Daphnia pulex: one gene and its partner. Each later gene encodes a partner of the first gene's protein in a complex. Links are inferred from orthologs where the notes say so. Each region holds a gene or a part of one and is shown in the gene's direction. Other genes may lie near its edges.

The links.
Region 2: molybdopterin synthase catalytic subunit-like (region 1) and protein Dr1-like share a complex: the UniProt entries of both Drosophila melanogaster proteins name them as parts of the ada2a-containing (ATAC) complex. The link is inferred for Daphnia pulex from reciprocal best matches to the Drosophila melanogaster genes Mocs2B and NC2beta.

What each region holds. Positions count from the first base shown.
Region 1 is NC_060026.1:10,881,361-10,886,337, reverse strand, and holds molybdopterin synthase catalytic subunit-like, read left to right. Parts: upstream 1-1,976; 5' UTR 1,977-2,702; coding exon 2,703-2,831; intron 2,832-2,894; coding exon 2,895-3,007; intron 3,008-3,107; coding exon 3,108-3,295; intron 3,296-4,117; coding exon 4,118-4,212; intron 4,213-4,283; coding exon 4,284-4,449; intron 4,450-4,506; coding exon 4,507-4,835; 3' UTR 4,836-4,900; downstream 4,901-4,977. Other genes in the region: pecanex-like protein 1, read left to right, coding at 1-516, 583-723, 786-989. UniProt on the Drosophila melanogaster protein: Catalytic subunit of the molybdopterin synthase complex, a complex that catalyzes the conversion of precursor Z into molybdopterin.
Region 2 is NC_060021.1:11,079,044-11,082,639, reverse strand, and holds protein Dr1-like, read left to right. Parts: upstream 1-1,727; 5' UTR 1,728-1,886; intron 1,887-1,969; exon of another isoform or gene 1,970-2,010; 5' UTR 2,011-2,019; coding exon 2,020-2,236; exon of another isoform or gene 2,237-2,299; coding exon 2,300-2,441; exon of another isoform or gene 2,442-2,500; coding exon 2,501-2,648; 3' UTR 2,649-2,699; downstream 2,700-3,596. Other genes in the region: uncharacterized protein LOC124194693, read right to left, coding at 3,105-3,137, 3,205-3,298, 3,377-3,523, 3,590-3,596. UniProt on the Drosophila melanogaster protein: Bifunctional basic transcription factor. Activates transcription of DPE (Downstream Promoter Element) containing promoters while repressing transcription of promoters which contain TATA elements.

The sequences.
Region 1 (4,977 bases):
AATTCGTTTGCGTTCAACACGGCAAGAGGATCGAGTCCACGTAGTTCATTGGGCACCCAAAGAGGTAGCATTGCCTCGACGATGAGCGGGACATTGAGAAAACCGTCCGGCTCCACTCTCATAAGCCTAGCAGGAATGCTGGCCGAAAGGGATTCAGTCACAGCCGCTGCCGCCGCCGCGACGACCACTTCGACGCCCATGGGAAGTGGGACGTTAAATGGAAGTGCTCCATCCGTCCGTGAAAGACGTCCCAGTCGTGGTTCCGAGTCTCAGGAACGTGATGTTCGTTTACGTCGTACAGCACCAGAATCTAGTAGTAGCGCTACAGCTCGACAGAGAAATTCTTCCGGTAGAGGTGGCGAAGAAGAAAGACGTGGTGCAAGAGAAAGGAGTCGCAGACGAGATCGTTCTAGACGCGACCGTTTCGACAGACTTGAAACTGTCGACACTGACCGACCTCTGTACGAAACGGAGCCGTTTATGGACAACAGGATTTCTGTCGACCAACGAGTCAAGGTACTTTTTAAAGCTCTTCTAAATTGTATATTTGTAAATTAATTTACTTATTTTTTCTCTACTCAGATTGTCGATCCCAATCAAGTCTACGATACCATTAATCTGGGCCGACGAATTGATGTTCTCTGGCCAAGTCCAACAATTCGTAACCAAGGTGGAAAATCTTATTGGAAATCATGGCTTCCCGAAGTGGGTATGGAAGGACAGGTAAGAAAACTATACGCGATGGGTGAATAGTTTTCCTTTTACTGTACTTTGTGTTTGATTAGGTGGTACATCGTTGGGTGCCTAATCATCCAGATTCGCGACAAAGATCGCACGTGGATCGCGTCATCCTTCTCTTGAAAATAGACGATAAATACGTCCCAATCGCCGAATCGGCGGTCGAAATTGCATCATTGGTTAGTGTCAACATCGGGGATTCTATCGTCGTTAATGATACTAAGCTTAAAACCCAGGGAGTTGCTGATTGAAATTCCCAAACGCCGCAGTGTTTTTTTTTCGAGTCCATTAGGCTCATCGTTGTAATATGAAACGGTATTTTGGTTTGAATGTGAACCCCGAAATTTGTTCACGAACCTTGTTTTGTAAATAATGTTTGTGTTATGCGGAAATGCTATGTGTTATTTGACATTGACTAGGAAAAACCACTGTGATTTGAAAACATTGTCAATAACGTTTACCGAGTTTTTCAAATGTCGAATGAAATTTGAAATTGAGTAATTCGAAACAAATAAACTTTTGGATTGTTTGTAGTCTAGGAACTATATATTTAGATTTTTCCTTATTCAACTACCGCACCCGCCTCATAGTTACTGTTAATTATTAAAATCACGAAAATTCCCGTGTTAGTAGTGACACAAGGAGTGATGGTGAGAAAGTAAACACTTAACAGTCGCATAGAGGAGTGACTCCAGTAGCATAAGAATGCGCCTGTCATTTTATTTGGTGTCTGATAGAAAAACTTGTCGGATTTTTAAATAACAATAGCAGGGGTATGGAGAGAAAGATATCTCCATAAATCTCTCCATACCCCTGACAATAGTATGCCGGTATGCACATAGTTTGAAATTTGAATATTATGAAATTGTTGATTATGAAAGAATCGGTGAACGAATACGATCGCTCTGATACGATATAGATGTTATACCCTTGAAAAAGTAGTAGTCTAGAAAAAAATCGTGCGCAGTTTACGCCGATGCGCACCACAGCGGCAGATAGCAGAACTAAACTTTTTTTTACGCTTGACTACCTGTCTACTTCAAGTCCTTTGTTCGACAAGCAGTCGGTTCTCGTCTCGTTTCTTGAAGTAGACAGGTAGTCAAGCGTAATAAAAAGTTTAGTTCTGCTATCTGCCGCTGTGGTGCGCATCGGCGTAAACTGCGCACGATTTTTTGCTAGACCACTACTTTTTCAAGGGTATAACATCTATACACAATACACATAAAGTTGCATAGAATATTTGCATCGTTGTTGGCTTCTTGCAGATAAGGGGGCATAAAATTAATGTATATATTTTGCGCGCAAGAAAAACTCCGCGCATATTACAATTTTTGAATTTTTAAAAAATACGCTTTAGTCTCTTTATGTCATTGCCACTTCCCACTTGCCAGTGCCAGCAGACGACCAGTGACCAGACGCTTTTCTGATTGCCGAGCCTCTGTCACAGTTTTACAGACACATAGTCAACGCATAAGAAGAGCGTATTGCTAATCAAGATTACTACTCAAAGTTAAATTTACTTTTGCGGTGACAACTAATTAACATATATTTTTTTATTGATTGTTACATGTCAACAAATCTGGTTAAAATTATAGTCAGGGATGCTGTAGTCTTGACCTTGATCAATGGATGAAGTAGTTATTCGGATTCTGTTCTTTGCAAAGGCCAGAGAGTTAGTTGGAAAAGATTTTGACAATATTTCACTTTCCAGAACAACTTCAAGAATCACTGGGGCAAATCTTTTGTGCATCATTACAGAACAATTTCCAGCTCTAGAATCCATATCAAAGAACATTGTCCTAGCTGCTGATGAAGAATATGTTGAATTTGATCAGCTTATAGACATTAAAAATTGCAAGGAAATTGCAGTGATCCCACCATTAAGTGGTGGCTAGGTCGCTAGGATTCTTCATAAGCAGTGTGCTACAGCTTAATTCGCCAGAGCCCTTCAATTGTATTTTAAAATGGATATTATTAACTTAGTTGAAGAACAGCTTGATGTGAATTCAATCTACTCTAAAGTGGTTGAACATTCTACTGGAGCTGTGTCATTATTTGTGGGAACAACAAGGAATAATTTTGAAGGAAAGAAAGTAATGTCAATTTGAATAATCTAAAGTCAAATATTTCTAAATCAAATTTGCTTTATATTTAAGGTGATTAGTCTAGAGTATGAAGCTTTCAAGCCAATGGCATGTAAAGAAATCAAGAAAATTTGTGAGAATATTAGAGAAAAATGGAAGGTTAAACACATTGCATTCCACCATAGGTATAATTTTTTTTTTTACCATACTGTAGTTATAATGAGGAAACTTAAGAAACATTTTTTTGTTTGTTTGTTTGTTTTAATTACCTATTTTTCTTTCCAGATTGGGAGAAGTTCCGGTTGGTGAAGCAAGTGTTGTAATAGCTGTTTCATCCGAGCATCGAGCCGAATCTTTAGAGGCTGTTCAATTTGGGATTGACGCGCTTAAGAAGTCTGTACCAATTTGGAAGAAAGAACTTTATAGTGATGGTGCTCCTGAATGGAAAGCCAACAAAGAATGCCTGTGGACAAGTAAAAATTAAACAAATAATGCTTAGTTGTTCCTATTTGTTGTATGAATTTTGAATTCATAACAGTACTGATTCTTAACAAGTAACACAAATATTGAACCTTAATCGATTTTCCGATATCAGAACAATATTTGAAATGGTTTCCAGTACTTTTCATTAGTTAAAAATCGGAGCATGAACGTTAGTTTGGCTGTAGTTTCAATCTTACTAAAGTGATAATATCTACGTAGTGCTGTCAAGTCTGACATTTAAAATATAAGGTTTTTAAGGGTTTTTAATTCTCTTTTTATTTTTTAACTAAGCAATGTTAACATTCATTTTACTTATTATCCAAGTACTTTCCAGTTCCCAACGCTTTCCAATCTTTGCCCTTTCATTATATAATAACATATACTGTGTGATTCTAAAGATGAGTAGCTGCAATGCTGCATTCTACGCACTGCTTCAATCTATTAGACGTTTTCGTGTGGTTCGACAGCTTTGCTGCCTATAAGCTTTAAGCTAATTATCTGACGGAATAGGGACAACCACACATAGACGTCCTTTATTTAGTATTTAGTTGTGACTTCTGCATTTGTTCCCTTCACTGCCGCGTACGTCATTTGATTATTTGGCTTATAGAAGTATGGCTTAAAGAAAGCACAAGCGTTCAGAAGTTTTTATTAGTCAAAATTAAAAAAAATAAGTACGAAAATATTCTAATCTTGTTAGGTGGGGAAATTCGGGATTTGAAATTTTTTATTTCCATGAGAATGAGTTGTTGGAATATTTGCTTGATGTGATAGATGCTTAATAGTCAATAGCATGTTTTGAATTGATATAGATCAAGAAGAAGACGCTAGTCTATCTAAAAAGAGGAAAATAATGGTGGACTATGCAGCTGCCGATTGCGTTCAGATCAAGGCTTCAAATTTAGAGGTATTGTTGATCCGTTTTACTTTTATCAAGTCTTTTCTCAATAAATATTTTAAATGTTTTTAATTTTTCAGTTGGGAAAACGAATTACTGCGTTTATGGAACGGAAACGATCAGAGTCGGACGTATTCAACGTTCAGGAGTTCTGTCACAGACTACCATTAAACGAATTAGAGAATTCATGTGCTCGCACAGAGGCAGTGCTTGTAAGCAGAAAAGATAGTAAAAGTCATCTAAAGGGTAAAATTATTTTATTTTAAGGATTCAACGCTGATTACTGATTTCTTTACGTTTTAGTGTCGAGATGCGTAAATATGTGGGGACCACAAACACACTCTGAAGTTCCGGCTCCATCTTCAGTAAACACCAAATTGAATCCGACTCCTGCTATCCAAGAACGGCTACAAAATATGGAAAAACACTTGGGTTTTAATTCAAGAGAACAACCTATTCCACTGGATGTGTACGGACGCTTGAAAGCCCTTGAAGATAGAATCCTTCATTTGGAAAGCATTAGTCCTGAATATTTCGACGGACCGTTTAATCTTCAGAATAATAAAGAAGATGAAGATTTGATATCAAAAATTGAACAAAAAATGGATGAATTACGTAGAAAATTAGTATAGTACCACTTTCTTTTTTCTGGTTGTAATCTGATCAATAAAATATAATGCATCCTTCAAATTGGTAATTGCCTTATTAGTTATTAGTTATTATTGCTTATTGTAGTCTGGGAGCCGAGGGACAGAGGCGGGGCAGTAGACTTCT
Region 2 (3,596 bases), on another chromosome or scaffold:
CAGTTTTGTCGTCAGTCCGTGAGATATTTTTGGGTATATTGACTAAAGTTGTAGCAACCTACTAATATTGAGCGTTATTACATTACGCGTTTGCTGATTAACGTACGTTTTGTGCTGGTATTCCATCCCCAACTTGAAAATGACGTTGGCTAGTAAAGGAGACTGGGATTAATATTTTGGGACCACTGCTTTCCCACTGATGGTTACTCCACCAGACCAATATGGTAAATCAACGTGAAAGTGGGCCAATATAATGCCAGTGTTGCAGAGAGTAGATTATGTCTGTCTTCTTCTTTCTCAACTTTGACAACAGTATGAAAAGTATGTCTATCAATTTCTACGTCAAGATCCAGACAGGATTTGTTTTGACCTAAAATGTAATAAATCATTAGTGTGTTTTACGACAAAAGCAAGGTGATTTAATTATGTGCTTGTTTTCCAACTGTAACATGGTAGCCACCTGCCTCAAGTTGTATTGCAGCAGACAAAGCACAAAGGGCTTTTCAAATTCGTTCTTGCCCAAATTTTCAAGCAACTATTGGAATTGATGGGGCTGCTCGATTAATATCACTCCTTACGGTCCCCCAGGCAATAGTTTCTTTACCACCGTCAATTTCTCACCGACCACAATCCACATTCCAAGGTCCACGGTGCAACGGGACACCCGTGGGTAACATAAGTTAGACAATCGAGAAATATAAACAAACTTTAGAGTGAACGGACTCATTATTGCGTACTAGTCACTACAATCGAACAATTCCATGATTGAAACTTTGAAAAAATATGCAGATGATGTCATCGTCACCAACTCACCAATCTGCAATGCAGTCTGCAGACTTGCACAGTGCAGACGAACTTCCGTGAGGAATGGGAAGCGACGTTGCCCTTTTACGAAGTTCAGAAAATTACCCGAATTCTTTCTAACTTCTCAGTTGTTGATCTCCGTTAGCAAGCAAAGGGCTTTTGTGATTTTGTTTTCATTTAAAAAATCAAAAAACATATTCAAACTACAAACGACAAATATCCTATTCATTAAGGACTTCAGGTTTAAATTAAAATATCTAGCCTTTTATGCTTACAACAGAGTTATAGATGTATAGCTCTGCCATACACGCTGTCATCTATAGCTCTGCTTACAAACAGCGCAAATAGAATCACACTCGGTCTCTGAATTTCGAATTTAAAAAACAAAGCTAACACGCACAATAACACTGCTTGTCAACAACCTTCAATAGATCGAGTTGCTATAAGCAACACGAATGAAGTTTAGATATTTTACCCGGAATTTTTCTTTTCCTTGCGTGGTGCCGTGGTCGACCTAGGCGTATTCTTGGTTTTGTCAATGACTTTTCCTCTAATTCCTCGCGGACCGACGATGAAGTAGAAATTGTAGTATAAAAATGACAATCATTTCAAGGTTTGCGTGGAAATCACAGGGGGATGACAGCAATTTTACAACCAAAAATGACCTGATTCTGAATTATGCGGGGAAAAAACAATGGTCTTTTTTAGTTTTTGTTTCGTAATGCCTATAATGATAATGAATTTGGATTGCCTAACTAATGGTGCAAGCTGATAATGGTGCAAGCTGATATATTCTATCAGTCGGATACGAAGTACTAGTCGCAGCCACCAGATGGATAAGGTTCTGGACATTCCCAACCTAGTACCTGTATACGATTGGTAGAGGCGCATAAAAAAAGGTTATTTTAGCGATTCATTTTAGTTTCTTATCTAGTGTGTTTGGTGTAGTTTGTTGTATTGCTTTGTTTATGCATTCTTCTGCACGAGAGAAAAGTTAATTATTAGTGAAAACTTTGAAAGAATTTAGGATCATACTCTTACCGTGTGTGCTGTTCTTTTAATTCTACGTATATAATTTTCTGGTATATAATGAGTCATAAATTTGTTTTTCAATATTACGGTTTCCTTCTAGTATTGGCTGACAAAGCCTTTGCTCTTCATAAAGTTTTCTGTTTGTGGACAGTAGGTTTTTTTTCTGATATACAGGCTTTAAAGATGGCAGAAGCTGTGCCAGAAGAAGAATTGACCATTCCGAGAGCTGCTATGAACAAAATGATTAAAGAGATTGTTCCCAGTGTCCGAGTTGCCAATGAAGCTAGAGAATTGATTCTTAACTGTTGTTCTGAGTTCATACACCTTTTGGCTTCAGAGGCTAATGAAATTTGTACTCAGCAACAGAAAAAGACTATTAATGCAGAGCATATACTTGGAGGTAATTGTTACAAATGTTGTAAAGTAATGGAAAGGAAAAATAATCTAACACACATGGTTGTAGCATTAGATAGGCTTGGATTCAATGACTACCGTACTGATGCTGAAGCAGTGTTGAAAGATTGTAAAGCTGTTGCTGCCAAAAGGAGGCGCCAAAGTACAAGGTTGGAAAACTTGGGAATTCCAGAAGAAGAGCTATTGAGACAGTAAGTTTTATCACTTTTTTATGATTTAATTAGTCTAATACATATTTTTTAAAATATAGACAGCAGGAATTATTTGCCAAAGCCAGAGAAGAACAAGCTGCTGCTGAGCAGCAACAGTGGCTACAACTTCAAGCAGAGGCTCAAATGTCCTTGCAGCAACAACAGGGAGATGTTCCATCAAATTCAGAAGATGGAGAATACTCTTAGAAGATTGTTTGTGAAATTTGATTCAATACATACAAAATTTGATTTCTAGAATGAGCTTAATGAAGTGTATTTGAAATATTTCTACTGTTGTCTTAATTATTATTTATCAGTACCATCCTAACATTCTTTACTTTTGTACTTGAAGCATTATTTATACTACTCAGATACCTCATATTTGGAAAGAATTTAACTGCATGACTTATTGCATAATTAACAAGTTATTTTTCATTTTGAATGCTTAACAATTCGACAAGCCGCAAATCGACTTTATATCAGTATAATAAGGTTTGAGAGGATAAATAACATGGACAAACCAAGCCTTTGATCGACATCTAAGTGTTACGAGATTACGAGAAATTCAACTTTATCATAGTGGTATTGGACAAAAGTACGTGTGTCGTGGTGGAAAAAGAAGTTATATATAAATATGAAAAGGCAAAAGTGAAATTCCAAACATTATTTCTTTTTTCGACTAAGCAATCTTGCTTTCTGTAAAATTGCAAAAACATTGTTAGACCATATCTTAAAAGTAGAGCAAATAAACTGGACGACTTACCAAAGTTCCCTCGTCAGTTTTCGATTTAGCATAGCCATAACTTGAACTACTCTGTAATTTTTTCTGTTTCACAGCTTGCTTAGCTTTATCCAAACTGAATCCGCGAAAGAAGAATGAATTGTTGTGTTAATAAAATAAATAAAAAAATTAATAAAATATAAAAAAGGCTTACTTTTCTTTGATAATACGTTGCTGTTCACGATTCCAAATATCTTTAAAATCTGACGCAAACGTAGACCACAAACCAAAGAAATCCTTTGGGTCGAGCTCTGAATTTTTTTTAGGTGTGAATTTGAAATATTTCAAAACGGCTTCAAATCTACAAGAGAAAATAAATGACCAGTAATGACAATTTAATAGTCAAACTTCTTCCTATTATAATTACCTTTGTT